Arabidopsis thaliana: one gene and its partners. The protein of the gene in region 4 interacts with the protein of the main gene of each other region in a pairwise test. Each region holds a gene or a part of one and is shown on either strand. Other genes may lie near its edges.

Region 1 (6,068 bases), on a different chromosome or scaffold from region 4:
GTGGATGCTAATATTAGCTTTACACAAGTAAGCACACTGGTGAATCCTGAATTTTGGGTTATAAGCAGAGCAGTACCTTCGAAACTCATGTTTTTTCTGCATGGTGACACTTTGTGGTCAAAACTCAAAAGCCTTAACTGCTAGCTGATAAAGCTCTGCAGTAACATAATTTAGGCATGTCCTATGATAAAATAAAACCTCTTAGAGGACATAAACTAGAGAAAAGTTATCTGGAGTCTAGCTGAAAATTAATGAGTTTTGTCCTATTCAACTGGTTTATGTGCCAAAAGTTTACTAAACTACTAGGTTTAATAATATTAGCTAGTAGCATCTTTATCATTATGTATATGATGCGCTTATTCTCTAAACTAGATAATGTGGCATATCGGTTCAAACTCAATTTGATGGCCCCAGTCATAAAACTCAAGTGCATGCTACTGCACTATTTTGCCACCAAGCCATAGTACCTCGGCTGCAGTATTTTTCTATTATAGTGCATCCTTTCATCTCTTATGGTTCACGTTGTTCCTACTATTTCTCCCTTGAGCCATACTGGACATGTCTTAGAAAACTTATTTGACAGGCTATTTTGGGGGGCAAAGTTGTGGTGCCAACACTTTCAGGCAAGATACAGCTAGATGTAAGATTCGTCTCCCAGTGAGATTCATATAATATTTTGTTTGTTTATAATTTGAGTCAAGTTGGTTTTCATCCTCTGACCAAGAGGAAGGTTAGATCTCAAGGCTTTGGAGATAATAGAGGTACCTTATTGTAATTGTTGCAGATACCAAAGGGGACTCAGCCTGATCAACTTCTTGTTTTAAGAGGCAAAGGTACATATAATTATCAGCCTATATGTTCAATTTTTTTTGTGTATTTGCGTGTACTCTTCTTAATAGGTTAGTTCCTGCAGGACTACCGAAGCAAGGCTTTTTTGTAGATCATGGAGATCAGTATGTTCGCTTCCGCGTTAACTTTCCTACGTAAGATTTCTTTTACTTGAAGTTCAAGTAATACACTTGTTGGAGACATCCACATTATGCTATGCTAAAAACTCTACTAGTGTTTAGAATGGAAAAGACACTTTGTTGCTCTAAAGTTACGGTTTTTGAAATAATTTTCCTAGGACAACATTGTGTTAATTTCCCTGCCGTCTGATTATTAAATCTGATTACATAAGCTTCTTGATGTTCTGGTGGCATGTGGATGTGTTGGATTCTCTTCTTTTCATTTCCGTCAAGAGCTAATATTGATAGATTTCTGGTATATGCTTATGCGGTTTACTTTTTTCCTTGTATCTACTAGTGAAGTGAATGAACGTCAGCGTGCTATACTGGAAGAGTTTGCAAAGGAAGAAATCAACAATGAGTTGAGCGACTCTGCTGAAGGAAGTTGGTAAGTAAATTTTATTATTGTGTTTATAACAGCATATTGTGTGTAATATTAGATGGTTAGACGTAAATGGACATCTGGTATAATTCACCTCAAAGGAATGTAGTTGGTTACAATAGAAGAATTAGTGATGCTTATACATTACTGGTACATTTTCTAGGCCTGCTTAGAAATAAGAGTTAGAAAAGGCGGATATGTAGATAACAACAAGACATAATTGAAAAATGAGATACCTAGGTTCTCTTATAAGAAATAACTAGAAGCTCTAAGGGAAACAGTGTAAGAAAGCCAAAATGTCTGTTGGGGCTTTTTCTTTACATTTTGATTCAACTGAATGTTATTTCCTCACTAGCGATTGTTCCTTATAGTAATGAAGAATCATGAATATGAACCAAACAGGCTTTACCAGAAGCTCTCTACTGGTTGAACTTACAGGTGGAATCTAACGGGTCCTCAGATCATCCGCGACTTCTCGTTAATGGTGCTGCTGGCGCTATTGTTGAGCAGGTTAATGGGATGAAGCCACCACGAGAGATGAAAGATAAAAGCATTCAACAGAAGACAAATGAAGACTAATTTCATCTATTGCTGGTAGAACAAAAAGCTCACCAGCATAACAGAGAGTGTCATTGTTTGACCTCATAATTCTATTACAAACTCATTTGATGTGAATAATAAGAGACATCAAACAAGTTAAGCTGAAATAAAGAAAAGAAAAAAAAAAGTCCTTTAAGATTGTGTTTTCGGCATAATCCCACAAGTTTCTCAAACATATCTTCTAATCTACTTGGCGGAGAAATGAGTGCTATGATGTCTTTAAACGAAAAGCCATGCTTCGTTGAGTTTTAACACTCACTTATGGGTCTTGACAAAGAAGATTGTTCTGTCTCCTGACTCTCCTCCTGCTGAATTCTCCTTTTATCCTCGCCAGACTTTATCTCACCATAAAAGTAAGAGACAAAGCCCCAAAGGGAGAGAGCAAGAGAAAGTCCCTTCTCAGCTTGAAACTTTTCATGGTAGAATATAACAGCTAAAACCTCTGTAATTGGCAAAAGCACTGATATCATAATACCCGAGACGAGAGACGATGTGGAGAAGATTAATCCAATGGCTCCCAAGAAGAAGCCTTGCCATATGATGGCTGAAAACACAGCCACCACATAGAACAATGCCTCTCCAAGCTTGAACTCTCTTGCTTCTTTTGGTAAGGCCTGCAAAAACAGTAAAGGGCTCAAGTCTCTGTTAAAAACTCTTTTGTATGTTTTCAGATTCAAAAGAGTGACTAACCTTGAAATCACCAGCGATGAACATACCGATGACGCTGACAATAGAAGCAAGGAGACACAAAATCAACTGGAACTCGAGCACAAGGGTATAGCTCATGGTTTGCTTAGCTTTCTGGTAAGCAAGTTCCACTAATGGCAAGATGAAAGCATACATAACAGCTGCTGCTACAGTAATCAAGAAACCAGTTATGTACTGCTTGTGAGTCTCATGAACTGGCTTATCAGTTTCGGTATGCATTCCCAAAACCGCAGCACCAACAGTCAACAACACAACAGCATTGATGGTAAAAGGAGTGAACTTATGTTTAACCATGAAGAATGAGAAGATAGCTATAAAAGCTAACTGTGAAGCAATGATAAGAGCAGCTGTAGAAACTGGAAGATAAGCTATACCATATGCATACAAGTAGTTATCAAACCCTGAGAGAATGCCTACAATAACAGCGGCGATAAGAAGACGCGGTTTGATAAGAAAGAAACTTGTACTATCACCCACATTGTTGCTTCTGCGCCGGGTAATGTAAGAGAAGAGCAGAGGAATGAAGATAACAGGAAAGCCTGCAGTTTCAAGAAACGTAGAGAACCAAATCCTTTTACCGCCATTGTTGAAGTAGAGACGCATAATCAAAGGACCTCCACAGTTTCCTATGGCTAGAATTATGCAGTTTATGATCACAAGAGCCTTCACCATTCTTGTCTGATTTCTTGTGGATAATGAAGGTTGGTGGTCGAAGGAGTTAGTTATAAGGTTTGGTGTTGCTGTGTTTTGGAACAAATTTGGTCCGGTTTTAGATTCTGTCGTGATAGATCTTTGTGTTTCTTTTTACCTAACGAGGCTTCAATGGCTAAAACATGACTTTTCCTATTTTATACCCATAAATTTTGCTAACTGTTTAATTTCGTATAAAAAACGTAGTAATTATCTTATAGACCAGATAATATCATATCTCTCATATTAATTTACGTTTCCATCAAATTCTACAGTTTTGATTATTGGATTTATTTCTTTCTAAATTTAGTGCAATGACATTAAGATTTTCAGTTCATAATTCTCTCTATAATTAGAAGATTTTAAGGATGGTTAATTGGTTCTTTGACTCTATCTCTTTTGTTTTCTCTTCTTCTTTCTATATTAGTTCTTTGATTTATATACAAATTTTTATATTAAATAGATAAATTATATTAATCTTAAATTAAAAGTGTGAAATGTTTATTTTATAAAATCGATAAATAGGATGTGATTTTATCAAATACGAAATATCCTATCTTTTACTTATCATTATCATTCTATTTCTACTACAAGTGTATTAAAATTTGCATTTATCAAATAGCTCAATATCTTTCAAATTTATTCATACTTATACACAAGAACAATAACAAAACACACAATCACACATAATATTAGGAACAAAACATAACAGTAATGCTCTGTTATAATCCTATAGAGTTATAGAAATTAAGCAACATAATCACTAACAGGAAGAATAGGCAGTTCTGTCTCCGGCGGTTGAGGTTTATCAACAACTTTCTTGCCGGATTTAAACTCGCCGTAGAAGTAAGAGACAAATCCCCAAAGAGAAAGAAGTAGAGAGACACCTTTCTCTGCCTGAAACTTCTCCCGGAAACAAACGACGGCGAAAACTTCAGTCACCGGAAGCAGAACACTTATCAGAACACCAGAAGCTAGTGATGATGCACAAAACACAATCCCTATGGCTCCTAAGAAGAAACCTTGCCATATTATTCCTGTGATCACTATCAATGCATAGTAAAACACTGATCCTCCAATCTTGAACTCTCTTGCTTCTCTTGCTATCACCTACAAAACATGTATGATGATGATTTTAGTTGATTCTCAAGTTTAATCATAATTTTAAATAGATATGGAAATACAGGATAAAGGTTTGAACAATTTTTAAATAATGTTTCTAATAAAAGATAAGGAAGACAAATCATATATATGAAAGTTGGCCAACTCTCTCCATATGATTGACACATCATCACTTTAACATGTGCCATGTGTCCACATAATAATTAATGTAAGCTTTCAACTTTTAATTTATAGATTAATGATGTATTTATTATTTAATTTTACATATTTAATTGTACTAATACTAAATTTATTTTGTTATTACATGTTGTTCAATAAAATAATTTTATTGGTTTTCTCATACTCAGAAGATTTTTTTCTGTAATCTTAACTCAAATTATGAGTGTATAGTAGTCATGGATTAGTTAATAGTTTGAATAGTTTGCATATTGTTATATATCTATATAATAAATCGCCGAGGGTGAAGAGTATGTAAGAAATTTAATCATCAAATTCTTAGGTTTCGAGAATTCCAGTATTACCCTCTATTTAATTAGTTTAAGATGAACATTGTTTAGGAATTGTGTGTATAATGCATTGTTGAGAATGTTGTTAGAAAAAATATATTTTAATACTAAGAATAATTACTTATTACATAAGTAAATGATTAGATAATTAAAAATTATATTTAAATTATACGATACAAAAAATCTGAAAATACCGCAGCGTAGCGCGGGTGATTACCTAGTATTACATAAAACCTTATTGAAATTGTTAAATATTTTATAAATTGCTCAAACCTTTATCTTGTATTTTATATAATATTTGTTTTTAATAAAAGATCAGGAAGACAAATATTACATAAAATCACATATTTTATTATAACCAGGAAATCTATATTAAAATTGTTAAATATTCTATAATATCCATATGTATTTAGAAAATGTTTAAATACAGATACCAATATATCTTGGTTGACTAGTATAGTCTAGTACCAATGATTCTGAAATAATTTCTATATATATAATTGTTTCCATGGATTTTCTCCATTAATAATACAAAAGAACAAATCTTAGTATTCCTCATTTCTTGGGAATCCAGACTAAATTTTGGCCTCTATCATAAAATGAACAAAAAAACTATATAATTTAGAAAAACATTAAAAATAGAGAATCCAAAAACTCAGCTAAAGTCTTCATCAAAATCTGCATAATATTTTTTTTATCAAGATCATCCCATGATACTCTCTCTTATACTAAAAACACAACGTGAAAAAAACTGTAAATTTCTTACCTTAAAATCTCCAACGATGAACATGCCAATGACACAGAAAAAAGTAGCAGCAAGGCACATGACCATCTGAATCTCAAGCACAAGTGGGAAAGTGATTTCTTGACGAGCTTTCTTGTAAGTTAGCTCAACGAGCGGTAATATAAAAGCATAGAGAAGAGCTGCAACCACAGTCATCAAGAACCCAACCACATACTCTTTCTTGCTCTCCTTAGCCGGTTTGTCTCCATCACTGTGTAACGCAAGGATCCCGATACCAACCGTCAACAAAACGACGGCGTTTATGGAGA
Region 2 (7,059 bases), on a different chromosome or scaffold from region 4:
ATCCCCACAAGCAATCTGCTTGATCCGAATACCGTGCAATGCTTTGATTGGTAGCGGAGTAAACAAGTCGCTTGAGTTACCATGGCCTAATCTCCCAAAATCACCCCTGCAAAGTACACATAAAGGTTAGAGAACACGAGGCTTAAAATATGTGCAAATGAGTGTATAATTAGTTACTGTTTTCTACACAAAAATCTAGAGAGGAACTAGTGGTCATCATCTCATCCCGAATATATCAAACAGACTGAAGAGCAATTGATTCAGCAGCAAAGAAGAAGATAATGATGAGAAACAAACCATCCCCAACTGTAGACTTCCATGCCTGATTGTGAATAAGCAACAGTGTGATCAGCACCACAGGTAACGGAAACAATTTGGTGGCCATCTAAAGCGCTAAGCTGAGTCGGAGAAGGTCGATCCTCTGCATCGCCATGACCTAACTGTCCATCCTCTCCTCGACCCCAAGAACAAACAATGTCACCAGCTACAAAATCAAAACATAAAACTACTCATTAGTAGACGACGAAAGTAAGGGAAACTCGATTAAAGGCCAGATCAAGAGAATTCGCGAAGAGCACAGCCTACTAAAGCAGCGGATTTCACAATTCCGGTGATTATTTGAGTCCGTAATAGAAAAGGAAAAAAAACAGCGAAGAAGAAGAGAGACGTACAGAGAAGAGCGACGGAGTGGCTAGCACCAGCGGAGATGATAAGAACCTTACGAGGAGGAGCCGTAACTTCGTCGGCAGCCATATCCTCCGCCATGGATCACAGTTGCAGTTTTCACAAGATATTTTTTTTGGGGAGAAATGAATTTTGAAAAAAGTAAGAAATTTCTATTTTTTGATAAATTGGGAAATTTTGTAGCTTCTCTTTCACTATCCGTAATCTCTCGAGGGTTGAACAAGGAAAGACAGAGAGAGAAAGCGGTAGATGGTAATAAAGGCGCGATGGAGATTTGCACATGTCATATATCTGCTTTTTGACTTTTTTACTTTTGCTGGTTTTTTTATTTTTTGTTTTAACCGTACAGTAAATCTCTTTTTTGTCGTACAGGCTTTAATTGCAAAAGGGTCCCTCTTCACTTAATAAATCCAAATACGGACCTCACCGGTAAAGTTTTATACTTTCATAATTTCACCATTTCTTTTTTTTTTTGTTTCTTGACCATTTCATTTACCTCTTCACATAAGTAGATTTAAGCCAGTACACATGACATTCTAGATCGTAACTTGTGTTTTATGTGTTCATCATTCACAGGTGTAAGGCGCATAGATCGTAAGAGCCTAATCATATGTTTTTAGTCATGCACACGTGTGAAAGTATACACGTTAGTCAAAAAAAATTCTGAGTTTCATAGTCCAAAGTGACATATCCAATTTGTCTTTTTAGTTATAAATATTCAGTTCAGCTATTTTAGTTTTTCAAAGAGGTCAAATTAAACCTGGATTACAATATGGTGTACAGTTTGTCTTTTTATTATGATTCTGATTATCATATGAAGATACGTCTTGCTACATGTTATTTTATTCAATTATTCAAAATGCATGGTTCTACATATGGAAATATACAGATATACGGTCTACTTACAACTTGATTTTTTTTTTTTTTGTTAAATTACAACTTGAAGATTCTACTATCAACAAAACAAAAACAAAAAAAAATCTTCTATCGATCGAGCGAGATATTCAAATCAAAATACATGGTCAACAGGTCAACTATAGATTCAAAATATATGAATACCTAAATATTCAAATTAAGATATATCAATTCACGATCTAAAACATCCAAATATAGATTTTGCGAAAACGGCCAAAGAAATTATACATAACGGATAAAAATAAATAAAAAATTACATACGGATACTACTTAGTAGTACTTACTAGATTACCTAAAACCCATAATCTTACATATACATATGGATAAAGGTAACATCGATGAATTACTTGTTTCATCCGATCTGGAACGAATATATCACCTCGCTCGACCTAACATTTATGTGAAACTAAAAGGTTGTTTACATTGAGATAAAACCAACATTATATGCTTGTCAGTGAGGGAAGTTGTGACATCTATTATAGTAAGAAAATTAAATGAATGAAGATATTTTTGCATTGCCTGATACATGCATTATATGTATTGTCCAATTTTGGCATTAAAGTCAACGAGACAAAACTCTAGATCAAGATGGTCTCTAATGTTGACATTTGTTGCGACCTCTTTCAAATGGGTTCATCTCATCATTCATCACACAAATTTGTTGCATTATCTTTTATAATCTTGTTAAATAAACATCATTACGAACAATTTGTGGAAAAATGGAAATTATATGAAAGCCATTGGAAGTACTATATACAATTTAATGCACATGACTTCAACAGAAAATACTAGAGAGACAAGATAAGACACCTATAATAATTTAAGCTTGACATGAAGTGCTAAACAATTACTGTTTAGAGACATATATGCACATGAAACTAGGAAAGAAAAAACATTGCGGTGAGTACATGTCAATGATTGTCGATGAACAAATTACAAAACAGTAAAAATCAACACCCACCCACATGGGTTCCGGTATAAGGGTCAAGTTTGGCGATAACACAAATTTTAGGGTTTGCAAAAATGTTGTAACCATAATCGGTGATGAAATATGGAAGATCATGTGAATATTTAGATGATGAAACTATTTGGCTGAAAAGACAGTTAACTTTAAGCTTTATTACTTGAGATGCCCCGTGACAGACAACGAATGACCTTGGAGAGAATCACACAGATGATGCTAGAGGTAGCTTTAATGTGTTATATTTGCGAATGAAGATGCTTCACGCTCCTGTCGAATTCTTCTCTCTTTAGAGAAAGAACAGACCATTATTAGTTTAGCCCACTCAAGAGAAAAAACCGAAAACAATTGCAATAAATGCTTCAAAGTGCAATAAGGAACCATAAGATAGTTAGCATCAACCTCCACTTCATACTGTCTTTTACAAGAAGACATACATTCATCTGAACAAATTGCTACCAAATTCGGCATTTAATAAGCTGTCTCGTTACTTAGGATTTTCATAACCACACAATTTTTTGTTGGATAAGATTCTAGTAATGTGTCAATATTTCAAAGGAAAACTATAATGCCGACAGACACATAACTTGATCCACAAACTTCCATTGGACTAATCTACTACTCGATTTATCATTCAGTTAAAAGCAATTCTATACAATGAAAGTTACTGCAAGTTTGACCTCTCAAGATTTAGGCTAACCTGACAAAACAGAGCAAAATCTTACAAGATTTAGGTTTAAATAAGACGTGTAGGAACCAAGAAACTAAGAACTACATGAGATTTAAGATGGTTCTTATTTCTTCATCTTCCATACATAACTTAAATGTGAATTCTACAAATGATTTTCTTCATCTCTTTTCTTTACATTTGATTCCATTTTATGTTTGCAAATAATGAGCAATCACAACAACTGTAAAAAACATCAATTCAAGATACTCCTTTTCAGCTTCGGTCAGCTATTTGGTTGTTCGTTATTGGTGTCCATTGCTGACTTATCCATCTCATCATCAGAATCAATGACATTTTCAAAGTCATAATATGGATGCGCCTGCACATTTAAAAACCGATGTCGCTATGTATGTGTATCAAAGAAGTAAAACAACTCGTTGGTTCATTATCAGCATCGTAAGTTAGTTACCTTTGGTCGCGGTTTAACAGCTTCGAAACTATGAAATTGAGGATCCGAGAAATCAGGCGCCTGCAAAATAATATATGCTCCTTTGTTTTTGTACCTCTCTTCTGTTGCCTACACCACACACAAAAATGATTGTTAACGCATATCTTTAGAAAATGCAAATACCAAAGGCGTAAAAATACATACTTGGAATTGCGGATAGTCAGGTGCACTGAAAATAGTGATAAGCTTTCCGGATTCGACATTGTGGTCTATTGTATATCCATTGTCCATTCCACCAAGACCAGTTCTCTTCTCTCTAGCATCTGGACCTTCATGTGATCTGATGATCAACTGCACCAATAAGTGTAAAACATTTGATCCAATCATCCATATCAGTATTTGGGAAGCAAACAAGCATCAATATCTACTTTGGTGTCACCTTCAGTTCATATTTCTTCAAAAAATCCTCTGTACAATCGGGACCCCAAAGAAGACCAATGCCTCTCTGTTCATTTGGTGAAAGGCCCGGAGTCATTGAAGGATCAGACCATAAAACGTCTCCTGGTATCAAGTTTGAACCTTCCCAAGGAGGATCAAGAACTGATCTTCGAGCTTGCATCAACTCATCTAAGGTACCGAGTTTCATTGAGCTCGGCTCAGGTTCCAGAAGAACTACCCGACGGTTCTTTTTCCCCCTTGTTGTTCGCTTAGGCAAGACTGGGCTGCGGAAAAGCCCTCCATGTGCTGTATAAACACGTCCAGAAATTATGGAAGCCAAAGGAAGACCTTCAAAGCAACCCAAACATTTCCGGTACACATGTTTTCCCTTGTCTCCGTATTTTGTAAGCACTTCCTTCTCGAAACCATACATAGATGTACAATACTTTGACTCATGATTACCACGGAGTAGGTAGACTCTGTCCGGCATCAAAACCTAAACAACCAAAAAGATATGTGCTTTAAGAATACTAAGACTTGAGCCAATAGTAAAACAGCTTAGTAAAGAGTTTACCTTCCAGGACAAGAGAACAAGGAAGGTTTCAAGTCCCCAAGCACCGCGATCCACATAGTCTCCGTTGAAAACATAACACCGGTTTTGACAAGGAAAGCCAGTATCTTTCAATAGGAAAAGAAGGTCATGAAGCTGACCATGAATGTCACCAACCACAACAACGTTGGATACAGAGTCAAGATCATCGATATGAACGCAGTTACGTTCTTTGTGGAGGATTTTATGAGCGGTGAGGACGAGGGAATCAAAGACGTTGACAGGCAATAGTGAAGGTAACTGGGAAGGAGGTAGATTCCATGAAGACCATTCGAAACACGACATAAGCCCATGTACCCAGTCGTTAGTGAGAGCTCCCCCATCTGGCCATGTAATGGGAGATGGTGGAACAGTTTCCATTAAAACTGTAAAAACACTAATCTATAATCAATTCCAGAGTATGAACATGTGAAACAAGAGTATCAAGCAATCGAAACATAGACAAAGTTTTCAAATTTCAGCGATCAAAGCCACCAGAACATAAAATCGAATCTGTATATATTCATTCGTACATCTTTAAACTCAAGAGAAGAGCAAAAAGTACAAAATCGAATCATGGGAAATCGAAATCCATATCACAAAGAATAATTCGGAACAGAGTGAGACTCACCGGCTAAGAGTGGAGACAATTTACAAAATTCCAAAGCTTGGATCTTGGACCTAGCTAAGCTAGCTTACTTTGCTTTCTCTCTGCTTTCAGTCCCGACACCGTCGTCGACGAGATTTAGGATCTGTCTGGCTTTGGATCCATTTACTCAAACGACGTCGGTTAACCAGCTAAAAGGATTCAAATCAAATTCATGATTCCAAACCGGCCGGTTTAATAAACGAACAAACCTTTTTTGTCGTGACGCTGCAATAGCGTTTTGCAATCACGCGCTATCGAAAACGCGAGTTCGAGATTTTGTTAAAGGTGGCCAACCGGTTTGTTCTGGTTTTGATATAAACTTGAACAAAATTGGGAGACCGAATTATACATTGGTCTATTCGGTTACTTATCGATTTCAGCTTGATTTTGTTTACGGTACTATCCAAGGAATTTTTGTTTGGTTTCGATTTTTTTATTTTTCAGTGTGGATGAAATCAAACCGACTAAAATCGGTTCGATATCGATTTTTACATTTTTTCGGTCCGGTTCATGCTTTTCCTCTATTTTGAGATATTTGTACTGAAAAGCAGAAAGAGAGAAGAAACACAAAAATTGGACTTTGGTTTGAAATTGGCGACATTTTTGGGAAATCTAGAGACTAATAATCAATTTCGTCAAAAGATCAAATCTTGCTAAATTTTCTTCTGCTCGTTTGATTTTCCGAATCGTTGGTTTCGATAAGTGAAGAAAAGATGGGGAATTTGTTCGTGAAGAAACCACAGATCACGGAGGTTGATCGAGCGATTCTCTCTCTCAAAACCCAAAGACGCAAGCTTGGTCAATATCAGCAGAAGGTTTTTTATTCTCTCTTCTTATATCTTAATTTTCTTTTGTTACAATTTCTTTTGGAACCCAGATCATATAGTTTTGATTCATCCAAAATCCTAATTGGAGATTGGATTTGATTCGTTTCACAATATGTGTCTTATGATTGTTAGTAGTGTGATGGAAAAGAAAGACTCAAGCTTTTGAGTTCTTTGGCTCATCTCTTTGTTAACCGATCTTCTCATTTTTTTTGCTAATTTAGCTTGAGAAAGTAATTGAAGCGGAAAAGCAAGCTGCAAGAGACTTAATCCGTGAAAAGCGAAAGGACAGAGCTTTGTTAGCATTGAGGAAGAAACGAACTCAAGAAGAGTTATTGAAGCAAGTGGATCAATGGGTCATCAATGTTGAACAACAAGTAAATCCTTCTCCTTGTGTGTATGTTTTGTATCCGGCATCGTCTCTTTTGATGCATAATTATGGCTTTCTCAAACTTTCATGTGAACTCGCAGTTAACAGATATTGAACTTACGAGCAAACAAAAGGCAGTGTTTGAGAGCTTAAAGCAGGGTAATAGTGCTATTAAGGCCATTCAAAGCGAATTGGACCTTGATGATGTTCAAAAACTAATGGATGATACTGCTGATGCTAAAGCTTATCAAGATGTGAGTCAAAATACTTTCGGGTTTCGTATCATTTGTTTATGATTCATTATTACGTTATCCGCTTTGTCAGAATGTAAATATCTTCTTATTTGATCACTGCTTTGTGTGGCACAGTTTGTTCTGAGCTCGTCTAGTGTGAAAACCTCTATAATCTTTTTTGTCGAGCTTTTGTGTTTGATGACTCTATTTACATTTCCGAATGTCAGGAGCTGAACGCTATATTGGGAGAGAAACTATCAGCAGAGGATGAGGAAGAT
Region 3 (8,890 bases), on a different chromosome or scaffold from region 4:
AGACAACTTCAATTTTCAAGTTTCACAAATACAGATACTCAATACCAAGTCAAGTTACGCAGCTTATCTAGTTCTTTATTAACAAGATGATGAGAAACTGAAGTTCAATGAAAGCAAAAACTGAATGATATCCTCATTTCACCTAACAACACCAGTAGCACCGACCAGTTTTCTAAGGAAACCATACAAGATGCCCAAAATAAGGTTTAAATGAACCAATTAAACTAGCCAAGCAAGTAAGTAATCAGATTTCTGGAAATCTCCAAGAAAGATTGTTCTTTTACATACCGATGAAGTAATCTCTCATAATGTTGACAGTGGCAACACTTCTATCAATCTGCACCATCTGGCCAATCTTCTCTTCCAAAGTCATTCTACCAAACAAATCCGCAACTCGATCTGACACCGTCTGTTTCGGGTCCTTGTACAACAGATACTCTCCATCCCCATAACAACAAACCCACATACACATCCATAGAAGAACCCCAACGATTCTTACTGAATCTCTGCTCATCTTCGTAACAGGGGAAACTCTGGCAAAACAACAAAGACGGAAGAAACTCAAGATAAGAAAGACTTGTCACTTGTCAGCTTAAAAAAGAAACCCCCAAAATTGTGAAACCTTGGTGCTTATCAGCAGCCAACCAAGAAAACAAAAAAGCAACTTCGTTATTCATCAGTGACAAGAAAGAAGAAAAAAAGCAAAAATAAAAGCAAGCTTTTTAAGATTTACTGTTCGAATTTCAACAAAAGATTGAATAAGCACACGAATCCGTAAGAAGTACTTTCTCATTTTCTTATTTTCCAAACGAATCATTATAAAGCTACTAGCCTCATACAAGAAACCAAGAACCAAGCTAGCCAAGAAAACAAGAAATAAGAAGAAGCATACATTGGGGGTAAGGAAAAAGGCAAGATTCAACAGTAGAGAATGGAGGAAGAAAGAAGAACTTACATGTGAGAGTTAGGCAGAGCAAGACCAGAAAATATCTGATTCTTCTTCGCTGAGAATTTTTATATGAGAAAATAAAGAGTAGTTAATAAACGCTTTTAAGCAGATTTGAGAAAGAGAGAGAGAGTGTTAAAAGACGTTGATGCGGTTTTGTGTTGTTTTTATTGGGACGTGGGGTTGGCTCACGTTTTTCCACAAAACATCTGTACCAGTCTACACTGCATAATGATGCATAACGACGAACAAAGCGGCGTCGTTTTAGTTTTTTAAAAAAGTTTCTTTCTTTTTTGACTTCTTACTTTTTTTTATTACTGAAAAGTATCGTACTTGCTTTAACGTACCTTGGACACGTGTCAGTAGGCGGGAGAATCGGATTCCTCGACTCTTATCTCACGCTAAACCGGCGATTCTCCGCCTCCCGCCGCCGCTTCGTCTATCTCTATGGCCTCCGTTGCGAACACTGAACTGCTCAATACGCTTCTACTGTATCTTCCTCATAAGCCTTCGCGAGGTTTCTGAGTCGCTGCTCTGTGTATCCACCGCCGTAAAAAGCTCTCCTTTTTCCTCTCCGATTCTTCTTCTGTCGACTTTGTCTCCATCCTCGGATCATGATGACGGGAATAGGAGCCGTTTGATTGAGGTTAGGGATTTAAGTGCTTGTGATTGTTGAATTGTGGAAGAAAGGAGAGATTTTTCATGTTAATGAAACACTAGTACATATAGACGTTGTGAAGTTTGTTAGCCGTGATTCTATTGGATATTATTTCTGTACTAAGAGAGCATTAGCTAAAATTTCTGACAAGCTTAACTAATTCCAATTGTGTGAATCATTTGCATCATTGCTGATATTTCCTAACTAATATTATGAAAGGTTGAGGCTCGTAAGTTTTTTGCTTATGAACACATTTTTTCAAGGTAAGTTTCTCAATCTTCATGTTGTTGAAACATATGATTCCTAGAGTATCTCTACTCGTACCCCTCTCATAAATCATTGTGTTTAAAGCCGAGCATCTGCATGATATGTAAGGATCTCTTGCGGTTCTCTTCTTGAGTCTCCAAACTCCAGTTGAGATCCCTGGTGTTAGCAATATGGATTTTCTCGAGAATATAGTATTTGATGCTAGGAACAGAAAACCTGGTCAGCCAAAGATTGAGCCAATGTAGGTGTCTTCGCGCATTAGTCAGTTAGATGGTTTTGGACTGTTACTTAGTTGATGGTGCACACTCATATATCTGATATAGAATTGTGTTCATGCAGTTGGAGGATTTAGAGGTGGCGAAAAGAAGCATAAAGAGATTCTTCCATTTCCAAGCGCAACACATGATAAGAAAGGTGAGGGTTTTCTTACCTTATTTTCCGGTCAATGGAAGACACACACTTGAATACCGTCATTTCCCTTTCCCACACTTGTTCTCTATTAGTGTCATAAACAGAATGCCGAATAGGTTACTTTTCATTTTATAGTCATGACTAGGAAATTTTGTTCCTCATAGCAAGATATGGAAACAGTTGTCAATTTAATTTCGTCATAGTGAAAAGGATCAATCAAGGAACAAGTACGGAAAAGATTGAGAATCTCTGTAATAAGGATCATCTGTTTTTGGAGGTCCTTGGATGTTTACTTGATCAGGACGTGGCAGAGGCAATGAACAGACTTTTGTCACCAAAAAACGCTGTTGTGATGATTGATAATCTACTATCAGAACATACTGCACTACATCAAACCAAGTCTCATACACATCATAGTGAGCGTCTTTGCCACAAATCATATCTTCTTAAATACTGATTCAAACCACCATCTCTTGATAACAATAGTGAGCTTCGTTTTTGTTTTAGGCAAGCATTCTTTCCATATCAAATCAATAACAGAGTGTCCAGAGATTCATACCGTTCTATTGCAGTAGGGACATCTCATTGGCTTATCTACTGGAAAAAGGAAGGGTGCTTGAGTGTTCCGTTAGGACCAGCAAAAACAATGGAAAGTGGTGATCATGATGTTTAGAACACCAAACTCGCCGTCTCTACAATATTAGTTCTGGTCTAGGTTTTGATCTTCAATAATAGCTGTGGTCGGAAGGAGTAATTAGGGTAAAACATAAGGGCGAAGACAAGAATGTGTAGAGCATGTGATTTGTTCAAGCTTTAACATGTGGATGTCTTATTTTTAATGACTGCTCTTTAATATGTGGGTTTTGTTTGCGCATTTTTCACTTGCGGGTTATATTTTTCAAAAGTAGTAAATGATGGGACCATTATAAAAAGGATGTTATTAGGACTCCAGAAAGGAAATTGATTTTATGGAAAATCACCTTTTTACCTCAAAGTTTTAATATATTACTAATTAAGTACCCTTACATAAGAAGCTGCGTTGCCAAGATTGAAGAGGGTGGTGGACTTTGTAATCAAAGATTAATTAAAAAGAGAGTTAAGACAAATCTCAGCGGAAAACTCGGCGGTGATAGATAATCAAAACAAAAGAAACGCGTTTTTCAAACTGGTTCAATCTTCTTCTTCGTCTTTCTTCATCGTCTTCTTCTCTATACAGACCTTGACTCTCTCATTAAATTAACAAATGTCCCTACGGTTTATGCAAGTGTAGTGCTATTAAACTATCCCTTTTATTTTCCCACCCAACTCAATTTATTTTCTCATTCTTTCTCTTTACTCTTCTTCAGATCTCTCTGTTTCTTTCTTTGTTGTTGTTATCTGGGGATGCTTTCTACTCTCTGTTTGGTTTCCTTCATTGTGACTTTCTATTTTCTGGGTTTGTTTCAAGTCATGATTTTTCCGATACCCTTTTGATTTTTCTTGCTATTTCTCACCTCTGTATAAGCAAGCTCTCTGCTGTTTCTCCTCATCCAAGTTGGGTTTATCAGTTCAGCTGTGTAGAAATTCAATCGTCTGAGAAGTCCGAGGTTTGATGTCTGATGGTTTTAAGATCGAAAGGATTTGACTTTTATCAGATTAGTAATGAGATTAGATTGTTTTTGAGGTTATTGTAATCAGATCTTGATGCTATTTCTGGTGAAAGAGATTTAAGACAAGTTAGGGAATGGGTAATACTTGTGTTGGACCAAGCAGAAATGGCTTCTTGCAATCTGTTTCAGCTGCAATGTGGCGGCCAAGAGATGGAGATGATTCGGCTTCCATGAGTAATGGAGATATTGCAAGTGAAGCTGTTTCGGGAGAGCTTCGATCTCGATTATCTGATGAAGTCCAGAATAAACCTCCTGAACAGGTCACAATGCCGAAGCCAGGGACTGACGTCGAGACCAAGGACAGAGAGATTCGAACTGAAAGCAAGCCTGAAACGCTAGAGGAGATAAGCCTTGAGTCCAAACCAGAGACTAAGCAGGAGACCAAGTCAGAGACCAAGCCGGAGTCAAAACCTGATCCTCCAGCTAAACCTAAGAAGCCTAAACACATGAAGAGAGTGTCAAGTGCAGGGCTTAGGACTGAGTCAGTGTTGCAGAGGAAGACTGAAAACTTCAAGGAATTCTATTCCTTGGGAAGGAAACTCGGACAAGGGCAATTTGGGACGACTTTTTTATGTGTCGAGAAGACTACGGGGAAGGAGTTTGCCTGCAAGTCGATTGCTAAGAGGAAGCTATTGACTGATGAGGACGTTGAGGATGTGAGAAGAGAAATTCAGATAATGCATCACTTGGCTGGTCACCCTAATGTCATCTCCATCAAAGGAGCTTATGAGGATGTTGTGGCAGTGCACCTTGTAATGGAGTGTTGTGCAGGCGGCGAGCTTTTTGACAGGATCATTCAACGCGGTCACTACACAGAGAGGAAAGCGGCTGAGCTCACTAGAACCATTGTTGGGGTTGTAGAGGCTTGCCATTCTCTTGGTGTTATGCATCGAGACCTCAAGCCCGAGAATTTTCTGTTTGTCAGTAAACACGAAGATTCCCTCTTGAAGACGATTGATTTTGGACTCTCCATGTTCTTTAAACCAGGTTTGATTTCATTGTTACTCATCTTAAAAGATCCACTTCCAGATTTGGTCTTTAACGTGAATAGTGTGATCCTTGTCGAACAATTATTTCTGAACTCGATTCCCTTCCTCTTTGCAGACGATGTTTTTACAGATGTTGTTGGTAGCCCATATTATGTTGCCCCAGAAGTTCTTCGAAAGCGTTATGGCCCTGAAGCTGATGTCTGGAGTGCTGGAGTGATTGTGTACATTTTATTAAGCGGAGTTCCTCCATTCTGGGCTGGTAAGAATTGTATATATACAGATAAGAGATTTGTCACTTTTCCTAACTAGGCTCTGAACAACATCTCTAATCTTTTTGTTTCTTTGAACATTCAGAAACCGAACAAGGTATTTTCGAACAGGTCCTCCACGGTGATCTTGACTTTTCGTCCGATCCATGGCCAAGTATATCTGAAAGTGCAAAGGATTTAGTGAGGAAAATGCTTGTCAGGGATCCCAAGAAAAGGTTAACTGCCCACCAAGTATTATGTAAGTTATTTTGATCTGAAACCTTCTCTTCCAGTTAAAGCGCTGTGATTCTCTTTCTGTTAATTCCATTGAGCATAGATTTCACTACATGAATAAAGTGTGTTGTCATGTAGAGTGATCTACCATCGTTCTATCTCTTATGGAGTTGTGCTTCTTCTCAGGTCATCCATGGGTTCAAGTCGACGGTGTGGCTCCAGACAAGCCTTTGGATTCTGCTGTTCTGAGCCGTATGAAGCAGTTTTCTGCAATGAACAAGTTCAAGAAAATGGCTCTTAGAGTAAGCAGCTTTCCGATGCTAAACAAAATTTAAAACCATATAAAAGAAGTTCCTGTCATAAACATAAGATAGCTACATTTAACCCATCTTCCTCTTGTTATGTGGAAAGAAAGAGACGACGGAGATTAAGTTTCTCTCTTTATGCCTTTTTGCAGGTCATTGCTGAGAGCTTATCTGAAGAAGAAATCGCCGGCTTGAAAGAAATGTTTAATATGATAGATGCGGACAAGAGTGGTCAGATAACTTTCGAAGAACTGAAAGCAGGACTAAAACGAGTAGGGGCGAATCTCAAAGAGTCTGAAATTCTCGACTTGATGCAAGCTGTAAGTTTTAACCGGCATACCAGTTCCCTAACTAAGATTCTGAACTGATCTTGTTATCATTCAAACTTACTCTGTTGGTTGTGGTTATATACTTCTGTTTTTGCTAGATATGCAAGTAATCTGGTTTCTCTCTCATGTGTATATAATTCAGGCTGATGTGGACAACAGCGGAACAATAGATTACAAAGAGTTCATAGCTGCAACATTACATCTAAACAAAATAGAGAGAGAGGACCATTTGTTTGCAGCCTTTACATACTTTGACAAAGATGGGAGCGGCTATATCACCCCAGACGAGCTTCAACAAGCTTGTGAGGAGTTTGGTGTTGAGGATGTCCGCATAGAAGAACTGATGCGCGATGTTGATCAAGACAATGTAAGTTCCTTTACACCTTTTATCATCTCATCCTAATTATAAAATGACTTGAATACTTCTCAACAATGATCAAATTTCAATGGATTATATACATTTTACTCATAGGAATCTCACTTATATGATCCTCTTAAATCCTTGCATTATTAAAACTACACTTCACTTACCGAGTTTTCATGTCTGTTTTCTTGGGAAAACTGAGACGATTGAGTATGATTCTTGTTAAACCTAGGGGGATAGTAGAAACTCTCTTTCCTGAGAAACAGTGAAGTAAACCGAGTTTTCATGTCGGTTTTGGATTGATATATTGGTTGAATGTTGATAATGTTGAACATTTGAATTGTTGTATTGTAGGACGGGCGAATAGACTACAACGAGTTTGTGGCGATGATGCAGAAAGGAAGCATCACAGGAGGACCTGTGAAAATGGGTCTAGAGAAAAGCTTTAGCATTGCTCTTAAACTCTAGTTTCTCAGTCTATTTAAAAGTACAAAACTAAAGCCAAGAAGACAAAAGAGTTTTCTGATAATATATACCATTTTGATTATGTTGAAGACATATGCACACAGCCAAGATTCTCTCTTGCCCTCTTTTGGATTCTCTCAATCTTTTGGATGAGGTTTTGTCTTAGACTTGTTTTGGAAACTTTGTTGTATTGTGTTACTTCTTGAGCATATATAGTCTTCTAACATTACAAACCACGATTTCTTGTCTGTAAGTAAATTCAAAGAGTCAAAAAACTTGAACACGATTTGGAAATTTTGCGATAACGATCATCAAATTTTTGTGAGGGCTTTTTCTTGTAAAGCAAAAAGTTTGAGTATTTATGTGAAAATCGTTTAAAAGTTGAGGTACTTCTATGTAATTTCCCAGTTTTCTTTTTTTGAGAAATAAAATAACTTAACCGAATTTCAATTAATTTGTTGTCCGAATTATATAATTCAAGTCCTTACCGAATCTAAGCTGAAATCAAATTAAATTATAAGCAGATAATTAAATTGGTCACCGAAAATAATAGCCACCAAACCTCCTAATCCTAAACACGTAGTATTTTGAGATCTTTATTTTCCATTTACATAATTAATTTCTTTTTTATGATTGGAAAAAACGAATAAAATGATCTTTTAGCTAGTGTTTTTGGTCAACATAAATACCTAACTTACTCTTTAGAACAACAAAAAAAATGGAGGAAAAATATAAAAGTGGGTCTCACAATCAAGTTATTTCTCCAAAAATAAATAATTTAAAGCTTGCGTTTGTTGTTGACATTTAAAAATGTTTATTTTGGGGTACGACTTTTTAATTTATAAAATTATTAAATTGGTTTTATTTAAATAAACTGATTAAATTGTCTATTTCAAAACTGCGTCCCTATCCCTTTTAAATTTCCTAATTTCAGTCCACAAAACGTGATCATGATTACTGTATCATAAAGTTTTATTTGTGTAGGGGTCTAATTGTTAAATATGTTGGTCCTTGTTTAAAGTGTTAATTATATTTGAAAAATATAAGTAGTCTAGTTTACTTTTTCTAACTTTTATTGAAAAATGAATCATTGTACGTATTAAGTTAGTTTTTTTCGGGATTTTCAGTTCCTATGAAAAATGAACAACACATTACACATATATATAAACATGCAACTCAAAATATCGAACCCTAAAAACCTCATATTGTTTTAGAATGTACGTGTTTGTCACAACATCAAAAAAATACTCATCACATAAGATTTTTTTTTTTTTTACGCTGGATTAAAATGTGGTTTTATTTTCCATTACAAAAGAAGTAAAAAGCAAAAAGGATCATGGGAGCATGAGTTAGTGTAGGGACTGTATTAACTTTAAGGCAATGACATATGGTTAGGACTTAGCAGCTAAATCTTTATGAATTAGGACATACCTAACTTATCCTTCGTGTACATTAAAAATCTTATCTTTCACATGGATTGGACAAAATAATAGCTTAGCTATAAGCCTATAAGATTTAGTTAACACTACAAATTTTATTAATTTTCTGAGTAAGCAAAAAAAGAAAAGAACAGTTTCTTATGAGGGGTCGAAATAAATTTGTGAAAAACAATTGATGCATATTAAAAGTCATACTTGTGAAGTTTGTGATCAAGATTTAAAGAGCCTCTAGAGTCTATTATAGATATGAATCCTGCTACTGGCTGCAATTTAAAGAACTTTATGGAAACAAAATCATTAGAAAAATCTAGTCAGAACTTACAGATAAAATAGTTGACACAAGTTTTTTTAATCGTTATTAATTTTCCTTTACTAAGTCAAAAGTAATAATTTTGGTAGCTTTAATTAACACTGTAAGCAAATATGGCAGATAATATAAATTCCTAAACTTTAGCCATAAAAAATCCAACTTTACTCAATATAAATGGCCGTTTTTACTAGTTATAGCATTTATTGGGTTTATCTATAAATGCAATAAAAGATTGACTTATTCCTCACATTTCTCTATATTAAACCGGATAATCTT
Region 4 (8,979 bases):
TGGACTATCTTCTAAATCACCAGATCATTGGGTCAACCTGATTCAACCACGATTAAAATCTTCGATGAACAAGTGACCCTTAGCTATCTGTTTCCTCGTCACTCCCTTCATCTTGACAGGGCTTATTACTCCTGTGGGGCTTACTACCTTTTTGGTCTCTACTAGTTGGGCTTCTAACCGTCTTTTGTGAATTTGTGGGTTTTGTTTCTAGAGTGGACATTTGTAAGACTTTAGTTAGCTTACTAGTAACCTTTTTAACTTTTGTTGTATGTTCAAACAAGTAACCCCTTTTTAACTAATATGCATCAAACTTTATGAAAACAAAAACATGTACATTAGTGTTTAACACAAAGAAAAAGAGAAAAAAAAATCTAAAAACATTGGTTAGCTAAATACAACAAGAACTAACAAAAACGTTTGTCAACGGAAACACTCCAACTTTATTGGAGACTTGACAACGCAAAACAAACAGAAGCACAACAGAGTACAAGGCAAAACACTCAAAACATATGATGTGATGAAATGAAAGCATAAACATGCAAATAGCAAAACACACACACTCACACACACAAAGCGACGTCGTTTTCTAGCATCTGCAATCACATGCTTTCCATTTCAGCACTGCTCTCTACATTATGGCAGCAATAACAGACACTTAAACCAGGAAAACGAGCATCTGAGCATTCGCCTCCAGTAAAATTGCGGCCCAATGAATTGCATTGTGTATTGCAAGAGAACAACATACTACATAAACCCGCTGCGCTGTCACACACTCTACGCCCATCTACTTGTGTCCAGTCCATATATAGAAAGATGCAACATTTCATTAACATGTATTTATTCTAAATCTTCTTTTAACTAAATTTACGTACCTGTAGGAGACATGAGGAGGATGGAGAGACATACAACTACTGCAACAGCAAATGTGCTCACTCTTAAGCTCCCCATTGCTGATTTCTCAGTTCTTTTTTTTTTAAAACACTAGATATCTCTCAATTCTTCTTTCTTTTTTCCGCTTTGTGATTTATTTAGCGAAGGAGTCTGAATTTATAGCACTGAAGGGAAAATGAGAGGCTCAAACATGTAACTTTATTTTATTTTATTTATTTATGTTATTTGTATTTATTTTTAAAGAAAACATCACTATGCAATTTTATATTGGAACTAGGATTTAACCCGTGGTATACCACGGAGCAAATATTTTATTTATATATATAATAATCTTAAATTTTAAGGTTTTAAATTTTTAGTATTAAAATTATATAATTTTATATTAATATTGTAAAAAAAAAATTAGTGATGATAGAATAATAAATAAAGATTTAACCCGCGTTATATCAATGCAAACCCGTCCCACTATATAACTCGTCTCATAATATTTTAATATCTTTTTATAAGGATAAATATTAATAATGTTTTATAAAGTTAAAATATATCAATAATAATATACCATTAATGCTAATAGATCTCTTTAAAAAAGAATATTAGTGTGTAGTACATTTTAGATTTGGAAAGATTTAAATGATTGTTGTGATATATTTATTTTAATTCTAAATTTTAGTAACAAAATTGATTTATATTTGGATTTGAGAAGAAATTTGTTAAAATATTAAATGCTAATGGCATTGGATGGTAAATAAATCTCAACTTGAGGATTTATTTCATAAAAGTGCTGCAAAAATGTATATGTAGATGAGTAAATAGATCAAATAACTTTCAGTCAACATATTTACAATAAAATGATTCTCCAATATTGAAAATCACATCTGTCATTAGCATCAATAAAATCGAATTTTATTATATAGTATACGTAACGAGACACACATTGAGTCTAAAATATTGAAAATACTCACTATCACATATGTCAACGATAACACTAATTTTTTTTTTTGTATAATATACGTAACGAGACCTGCATTAGATCTAATTTTTAATCGATTAGAGCTTAAATGACATCGTTTTGGTTTGACTAAGAGAATCGTTAAAAATGTTAGAAAATCTGTTAAAGCTTAATAACTGTTTGTTTGTTTTTTTTCTTTCTTTTTTTGTCAATCGAAAATTAGACTATTAAATGACAATTTTCCGTTTAAAATGGCAAGTCCTAGATTTGAAAAGGTCTTTTGAAATCTTTTTAAGAGAATTAAGGGTGAATTAAATATATTCAGAAATTAAAGGGTCGAATTGCAAACTTTCTTGGTTCATACTTGGTCTGCCTTTGTCCCTTTCTTATCTTCTTCGCGCGCTTTTGAAAAAAATAGAAACCCGCCACTGAACGTCAGTCTTCCACGTGTCCTCTCCTGTGCTCTGTTTCCGATCGTCGGAGACATCAATTTGCCTGCTTGTAGGGTGATTCGTCAAATCTATTATCAGGTTTTAAATATACTCGAATTGACTTCCAAATTCTTAGTCTCTAGTGTAATGATTTTGAGAATCACTTAACTCCAAAAATATAATCCACGATCCCGTGTTAATTATTGAAGAATCAATCGTTTTTAATTTCTCACCAATAGATGTTGCTCTTATTACTTAAAACAAATTGTTTAGACAAATGTAGCAAGTGTGATACTTAGTGGGATCTTAAAGACGATTTCTCCTATAACAGAGGACAAACAGGTCGGTCAATTACAATGTCATCCCTCTTTACCCTGTCTTTTTTTTTCTTCTTAAAACCTAACCATTTGATTGTTTCTAAAGGTATTTCAAGAATATATGATCAATCTAGATGAATACTATACCGACGATGACTACACACACAAGGAAATATATATATCAGCTTTCTTTTCACCTAAAAGTGGTCCCGGTTTAGAATCTAATTCCTTTATCTCTCATTTTCTTCTGCTTCACATTCCCGCTAGTCAAATGTTAATAAGTGCACACAACGTTTTCTCGAAGCATTAGAATGTCCTCCTCTTAATTAATCTCCTTCTGATTAGATTCTCAATAGAGTTTAAATTTGTTAATGGAGAGATATATTGGGACCCTCAAGGCTTCTAATTATACCACGTTTGGCATAATTCTCTATCGTTTGGGGCCACATCTTTCACACTTCATTACCTTATCACCAAAACATAAAATCAATCAACTTTTTTTTGCCTTATTGATTGTGTTGGATCCCTCCAAAATTAAAACTTGTGTTCCCCACAAAAGCTTACCCAATTTCACTTCAATCTTAACAAATAGGACCACCACTACCACGTACGGTTTGCATCATACAAACCACAAACTCCTTCTTCATTACAATTATTATATCATCTACTAAAACCTCTTTCTCCCTCTCTCTTTCTTGTTCTTAGTGCTAAATTTTCTTTGTTCAGGAGAAATATAATGGACCTCAAGTATTCAGCATCTCATTGCAACTTATCCTCAGACATGAAGCTCAGGCGTTTTCATCAGCATCGAGGAAAAGGAAGAGAAGAAGAGTATGATGCTTCTTCTCTCAGCTTGAACAATCTGTCAAAACTTATTCTTCCTCCACTTGGTGTTGCTAGCTATAACCAGAATCACATCAGGTCTAGTGGATGGATCATCTCACCTATGGACTCAAGATACAGGTACCATCCATATTGATGAAACAGAGTACCTGAAAAATACATTCTTTATATCTCAGTGACATAAAAGAATGCTTGAATTAGTGATAACGTAAAGAAGTTAAATGGTTGATTCAGGTGCTGGGAATTTTATATGGTGCTTTTAGTGGCATACTCTGCGTGGGTTTACCCTTTTGAAGTTGCATTTCTGAATTCATCACCAAAGAGAAACCTTTGTATCGCGGACAACATCGTAGACTTGTTCTTCGCGGTTGACATTGTCTTGACGTTTTTCGTTGCTTACATAGACGAAAGAACACAGCTTCTTGTCCGTGAACCTAAACAGATTGCAGTGAGGTCAGTGATTGTTATTCATGATCTTAGTTTCACCTTTTTTATTTGATCTGATATCTTTAGCTAAGTGGAAGAAGACAAGGTTTAGGTGACTGTTGAGCCCACACCATGTGATTCTTTTATTTTCATAATCAGTTAGATAGATTTCTGTTTTTGGAATAAACAGAAAGATTCTACTTATATATATTAGGTGAAAAGAAAGCTTTTTAAATAAATGTGTTAGTTCTTGCTTAATGCTATTTTAATATCTCATTAAAGGTACCTATCAACATGGTTCTTGATGGATGTTGCATCAACTATACCATTTGACGCTATTGGATACTTAATCACTGGCACATCCACGTTAAATATCACTTGTAATCTCTTGGGATTACTTAGATTTTGGCGACTTCGAAGAGTTAAACACCTCTTCACTAGGTACACTAATTCCCTATGACTCTATGTCATGTCTCTGATCAAGAAGGTAACAAAATGATTCTATTTTTGGTGTTGTTTTAGGCTCGAGAAGGACATAAGATATAGCTATTTCTGGATTCGCTGCTTTCGACTTCTATCAGTGAGTAAATAACTTATAAGTGAAGGAACAAGATCACATTTCTTTAGATTTTGTAGTTGCAGTACATGATGAGGTTTGAGTGTTTTACAGGTGACATTGTTTCTAGTGCACTGTGCTGGATGCAGTTATTACCTAATAGCAGACAGATATCCACACCAAGGAAAGACATGGACTGATGCGATCCCTAATTTCACAGAGACAAGTCTTTCCATCAGATACATTGCAGCTATATATTGGTCTATCACTACAATGACCACAGTGGGATATGGAGATCTTCATGCAAGCAACACTATTGAAATGGTATTCATAACAGTCTACATGTTATTCAATCTTGGCCTCACTGCTTACCTTATTGGTAACATGACTAATTTGGTCGTGGAAGGGACTCGTCGTACCATGGAATTTGTGAGTCTCACGCTCTATACAAGATTAAGTCTTTTCTGTTTGTATAGTTTGCTCAAGGAAGATCTTATGTTGTTGTTGTGGTGGTGCAGAGGAATAGCATTGAAGCAGCGTCAAACTTTGTTAACAGAAACAGATTGCCTCCTAGATTAAAAGACCAGATATTAGCTTACATGTGTTTAAGGTTTAAAGCAGAGAGCTTAAATCAGCAACATCTTATTGACCAGCTCCCAAAATCTATCTACAAAAGCATTTGTCAACATCTTTTTCTTCCATCTGTTGAAAAAGTTTACCTCTTCAAAGGCGTCTCAAGAGAAATACTTCTTCTTCTGGTGAGTTAATTTTCTGACATGATTGGTTGAGTTTTGGCTTGCTGGATAAGTTTTCTAAACAGAGGTTTTGGTGATTAGGTTTCAAAAATGAAGGCTGAGTATATACCACCAAGAGAGGATGTCATTATGCAGAACGAAGCGCCGGATGATGTTTACATAATTGTGTCAGGAGAAGTTGAGATCATTGATTCAGAGATGGAGAGAGAGTCTGTTTTAGGCACTCTACGTTGTGGAGACATATTTGGAGAAGTTGGAGCACTTTGTTGCAGACCACAAAGCTACACTTTTCAAACTAAGTCTTTATCACAGCTTCTCCGACTCAAAACATCTTTCCTTATTGAGACAATGCAGATTAAACAACAAGACAATGCCACAATGCTCAAGAACTTCTTGCAGCATCACAAAAAGCTGAGTAATTTAGACATTGGTGATCTAAAGGCACAACAAAATGGCGAAAACACCGATGTTGTTCCTCCTAACATTGCCTCAAATCTCATCGCTGTGGTGACTACAGGCAATGCAGCTCTTCTTGATGAGCTACTTAAGGCTAAGTTAAGCCCTGACATTACAGATTCCAAAGGAAAAACTCCATTGGTAACGTTTTGCTTTCACCATAAGCCATTTAAAACCCTTACTCATAATCATCATCACAGCCGTTAATTCGTCGTCTTATATTCATGTTTCAGCATGTAGCAGCTTCTAGAGGATATGAAGATTGTGTTTTAGTACTCTTAAAGCACGGTTGCAACATCCACATAAGAGGTAAACACATCATACTTAAGAACCGTTATGTTTTATGTTCTACTGATATGTTTTAAGAACAAGATTTTATCATAATCTTGCAGATGTGAATGGTAATAGTGCTCTATGGGAAGCAATAATATCGAAGCATTACGAGATATTCAGAATCCTTTATCATTTCGCAGCCATATCGGATCCACACATAGCTGGAGATCTTCTATGTGAAGCAGCGAAACAGAACAATGTAGAAGTCATGAAGGCTCTTTTAAAACAGGGGCTTAACGTCGACACAGAGGATCACCATGGCGTCACAGCTTTACAGGTCGCTATGGCGGAGGATCAGATGGACATGGTGAATCTCCTGGCGACGAACGGTGCAGATGTAGTTTGTGTGAATACACATAATGAATTCACACCATTGGAGAAGTTAAGAGTTGTGGAAGAAGAAGAAGAAGAAGAACGAGGAAGAGTGAGTATTTACAGAGGACATCCATTGGAGAGGAGAGAAAGAAGTTGCAATGAAGCTGGGAAGCTTATTCTTCTTCCTCCTTCACTTGATGACCTCAAGAAAATTGCAGGTAAAGATACAAATTACACAAGTGACTAGAGTTTAAACACCAAATTACGGTTTAGGTTATATGGTGTTAAACCGGTTCAAATTGGTTTTGGTTTATTGAGCTAACCGGGTTTTGGTGTGCATGTGCTAAAAACAGGAGAGAAGTTTGGGTTTGATGGAAGTGAGACGATGGTGACGAATGAAGATGGAGCTGAGATTGACAGTATTGAAGTGATTAGAGATAATGACAAACTCTACTTTGTCGTAAACAAGATAATTTAGAAGTTGAAAAATTATAACGAAATGAAGTTTGAGATAAGAGAGAGCGTGACAAAAAAATGAAAAACAAATTGTAATATTTATATGCGTCCATCAAAGTGAGATGTAACACATATTTGGGTAAGAAACGTTCCAAATAATAAATTTAAATTTACTAAAATAATAAAATCCAAAATGAGTTCAAATTTATTAGAAACCTAATCTACTGTACAAACTTTTCAACTAGGTATATAGTTTCTACATATATGAAAATGTGACGTGACTGTCGTAGTATCAGTATCACATGCTATGCTACGGTTCGAATTTAGCTGAATTATTGAGTTTTTTTCGTATTTTATTTTGGAACATAATTTTTGAGGTTGTACACGTTGTTTTGTTTGCAAGGGAAAAACTTTATTCTTTGGTATTATGGAATAGTCGTCGAGTTGAAGAGAATGATCCACGTGACCTTCACGTGAATAGTAGTTCTATGATATTTCTTTGTCAATGAATCCATAAAATGATGCGACTTTTTTTTGTACCACTTGAAGTTTAGACACACTCCAAACCCTACCTCACATTTCTAGTTTTTGTGGAGTTGATTCTTTCTGAATTAGTATGATGTAAGAAATATGAATGTAACTAATAATAAAGTATTGTGGAGATAATCATATAAAAAATGGACAAGAACATAGAACCAAAATAACATTCAAACTATATCCTTAGATTTGTGATTAGTTTGAAAAATATAATTCGTTGACGAGAAAAATACGCAAAGAACCATATGTATGCTGTCTAAGGACCTACAAAGAAACTCCGTTAACAATTATGGACTGTCGTCGTCCATTACCAAATTTTAGTTCGTGTAGCATTTATCAACTATCCAAATATAAACAACTTTTGAGTATCAGAAAATGCGTTGGCTAAAAGGAACTCGAGCCTAAAACTTCGTTAACCAACATATATAAAACTATTGTTTCAATATTACTATTTTAAAATCAGTTTAGAATGATTTGTATTATTAAAAATTGTGTCATTGAAAGCTAATTAAAAATTTGTAAGTCGTAACATGGGGTGTACGGATGGGGAAATGTGAAAACCTAAAATACCAAATCTATGTAACGTCGAAGTTGCGTGCAGAGAGAAAGGGTTGGGTTATTTACGACATTTCACAATCACGACCCTACGACATTAAATGAGTGTGAGATAATGCTATCCATCACATGGCCTTACATTATCTATGTCTGTTTCCAAACACAAACCAACCAACAAATCTTTTTGCTATTTTTGTATTAATTTTTTCCCATTTGATGATCATTTATATAGAAAAAAATAGATTTATGAGATCTTTTTTATATTTCTGCTAGCTTACATATTTTTTCTTAGTATTTTTAAAAATTTCTTGAACTAGTTAAAATCACAGCCAGTCACTGGTGGTGAACCCGTAATGCTACAGCAGAAAAAGCTAAACAATACGATAAAAAGCGTTTAATACGTGTAGGTCCTATTAAAATCACGTTTCATTCTTTTAACTATTTGTTTCCTTCTGTTTAATGGGCCTCATTCTTGGCCCGTTTACCCCTTCTGGCTGTCTTTTATCGCTAATAATAATGTACTTTGGGACTACATTTGTTTTTTGTTTTTTTTTTGTTTTGACAGCCAACATTTGTCTATTAAGTGTATTGGTGTCGTAAACATAACATAACTTGGTAAGGAATTTGGCAAGACAAAAAAACATAGCAGAACAAAAGAATGAAATTATTCGTGAATGTAGAGAAAAATATCAAACATTAATGATAAGATTCATTCGTTAGACACTCAATTTTAAAAATGGTGGAGATATTAAATAGAATTAAATAATAAAGTGTACTGTATTTATAGATTTTCTCATTGTTGATCACTCATTTTCTATGTTCCGCCAACCTATTGTGATTAATTTTTCCTAATAAAACCACCACTTTATGAAACAATTTGACTATTTCGTAAATTAATCATCAAAAAGTCAATACATTGATTTTGTCGTTTTTATTTGGCACAAACGAGTGAAACTTGATACTAACAAAACAAAGGCTTGTACATAAGTATAGGACTAGGAATATCGAATATGTATAGCATGCGTGTACGTCGGTGGCTTGGTGGTTGTATCTACAATTAAACAAAACTCTAAGTATTCATTTTTCATTAGTTATGAAGTAAAATCCCTAAGTATGTGCTATTCTTATTTTCCATGAAATGCGGTCGAGGAATGTGGTT

What was found.
Region 1: the proteins of KT2/3 (region 4) and PUP3 interact in a protein complementation assay, tested with the Arabidopsis thaliana proteins (one large-scale study listed by BioGRID).
Region 2: the proteins of KT2/3 (region 4) and PP7 interact in a protein complementation assay, tested with the Arabidopsis thaliana proteins (one large-scale study listed by BioGRID).
Region 3: the proteins of KT2/3 (region 4) and CPK1 interact in a protein complementation assay, tested with the Arabidopsis thaliana proteins (one large-scale study listed by BioGRID).

The regions. Positions count from the first base shown.
Region 1 is NC_003070.9:9,858,066-9,864,133, forward strand, and holds PUP3 (purine permease 3), read right to left. Parts: upstream 3,504-6,068; 5' UTR 3,370-3,503; coding exon 2,680-3,369; intron 2,604-2,679; coding exon 2,238-2,603; 3' UTR 2,226-2,237; downstream 1-2,225. Other genes in the region: ATJ1 (DNAJ heat shock family protein), read left to right, coding at 1-27, 584-640, 785-833, 914-983, 1,306-1,395, 1,828-1,912; PUP1 (purine permease 1), read right to left, coding at 4,135-4,497, 5,782-6,068. UniProt on the Arabidopsis thaliana protein: May be involved in transport of purine derivatives during pollen germination and tube elongation.
Region 2 is NC_003076.8:25,557,823-25,564,881, forward strand, and holds PP7 (serine/threonine phosphatase 7), read right to left. Parts: upstream 5,495-7,059; 5' UTR 5,337-5,494; intron 5,103-5,336; exon of another isoform or gene 5,092-5,102; 5' UTR 5,087-5,091; coding exon 4,691-5,086; intron 4,613-4,690; coding exon 4,118-4,612; coding exon of another isoform or gene 4,103-4,117; exon of another isoform or gene 4,030-4,102; coding exon 3,883-4,029; intron 3,808-3,882; coding exon 3,700-3,807; intron 3,610-3,699; coding exon 3,514-3,609; 3' UTR 3,248-3,513; downstream 1-3,247. Other genes in the region: UVR8 (Regulator of chromosome condensation (RCC1) family protein), read right to left, coding at 1-106, 298-484, 672-765; VPS20.1 (SNF7 family protein), read left to right, coding at 6,068-6,169, 6,403-6,555, 6,650-6,802, 6,937-7,059. UniProt on the Arabidopsis thaliana protein: Phosphatase active on para-nitrophenylphosphate (pNPP) and on various phosphoproteins such as myelin basic protein.
Region 3 is NC_003076.8:1,414,993-1,423,882, reverse strand, and holds CPK1 (calcium dependent protein kinase 1), read left to right. Parts: upstream 1-3,328; 5' UTR 3,329-4,005; coding exon 4,006-4,918; intron 4,919-5,035; coding exon 5,036-5,179; intron 5,180-5,274; coding exon 5,275-5,427; intron 5,428-5,588; coding exon 5,589-5,704; intron 5,705-5,859; coding exon 5,860-6,027; intron 6,028-6,178; coding exon 6,179-6,403; intron 6,404-6,754; coding exon 6,755-6,868; 3' UTR 6,869-7,319; downstream 7,320-8,890. Other genes in the region: AT5G04885 (Glycosyl hydrolase family protein), read right to left, coding at 289-533, 786-817. UniProt on the Arabidopsis thaliana protein: May play a role in signal transduction pathways that involve calcium as a second messenger. Phosphorylates the Ca(2+)-ATPase ACA2 resulting in the inhibition of its calcium activation.
Region 4 is NC_003075.7:11,744,437-11,753,415, reverse strand, and holds KT2/3 (potassium transport 2/3), read left to right. Parts: upstream 1-2,717; 5' UTR 2,718-3,324; coding exon 3,325-3,551; intron 3,552-3,665; coding exon 3,666-3,884; intron 3,885-4,139; coding exon 4,140-4,298; intron 4,299-4,379; coding exon 4,380-4,437; intron 4,438-4,527; coding exon 4,528-4,842; intron 4,843-4,931; coding exon 4,932-5,171; intron 5,172-5,249; coding exon 5,250-5,765; coding exon of another isoform or gene 5,766-5,831; exon of another isoform or gene 5,832-5,857; coding exon 5,858-5,933; intron 5,934-6,016; coding exon 6,017-6,490; intron 6,491-6,625; coding exon 6,626-6,750; 3' UTR 6,751-6,926; downstream 6,927-8,979. Other genes in the region: LCR85 (low-molecular-weight cysteine-rich 85), read right to left, coding at 600-787, 873-948. UniProt on the Arabidopsis thaliana protein: Highly selective and weak inward-rectifying potassium channel. Plays a role in both loading and unloading potassium into/from the phloem sap. Seems to control sugar loading into phloem via a voltage-dependent process.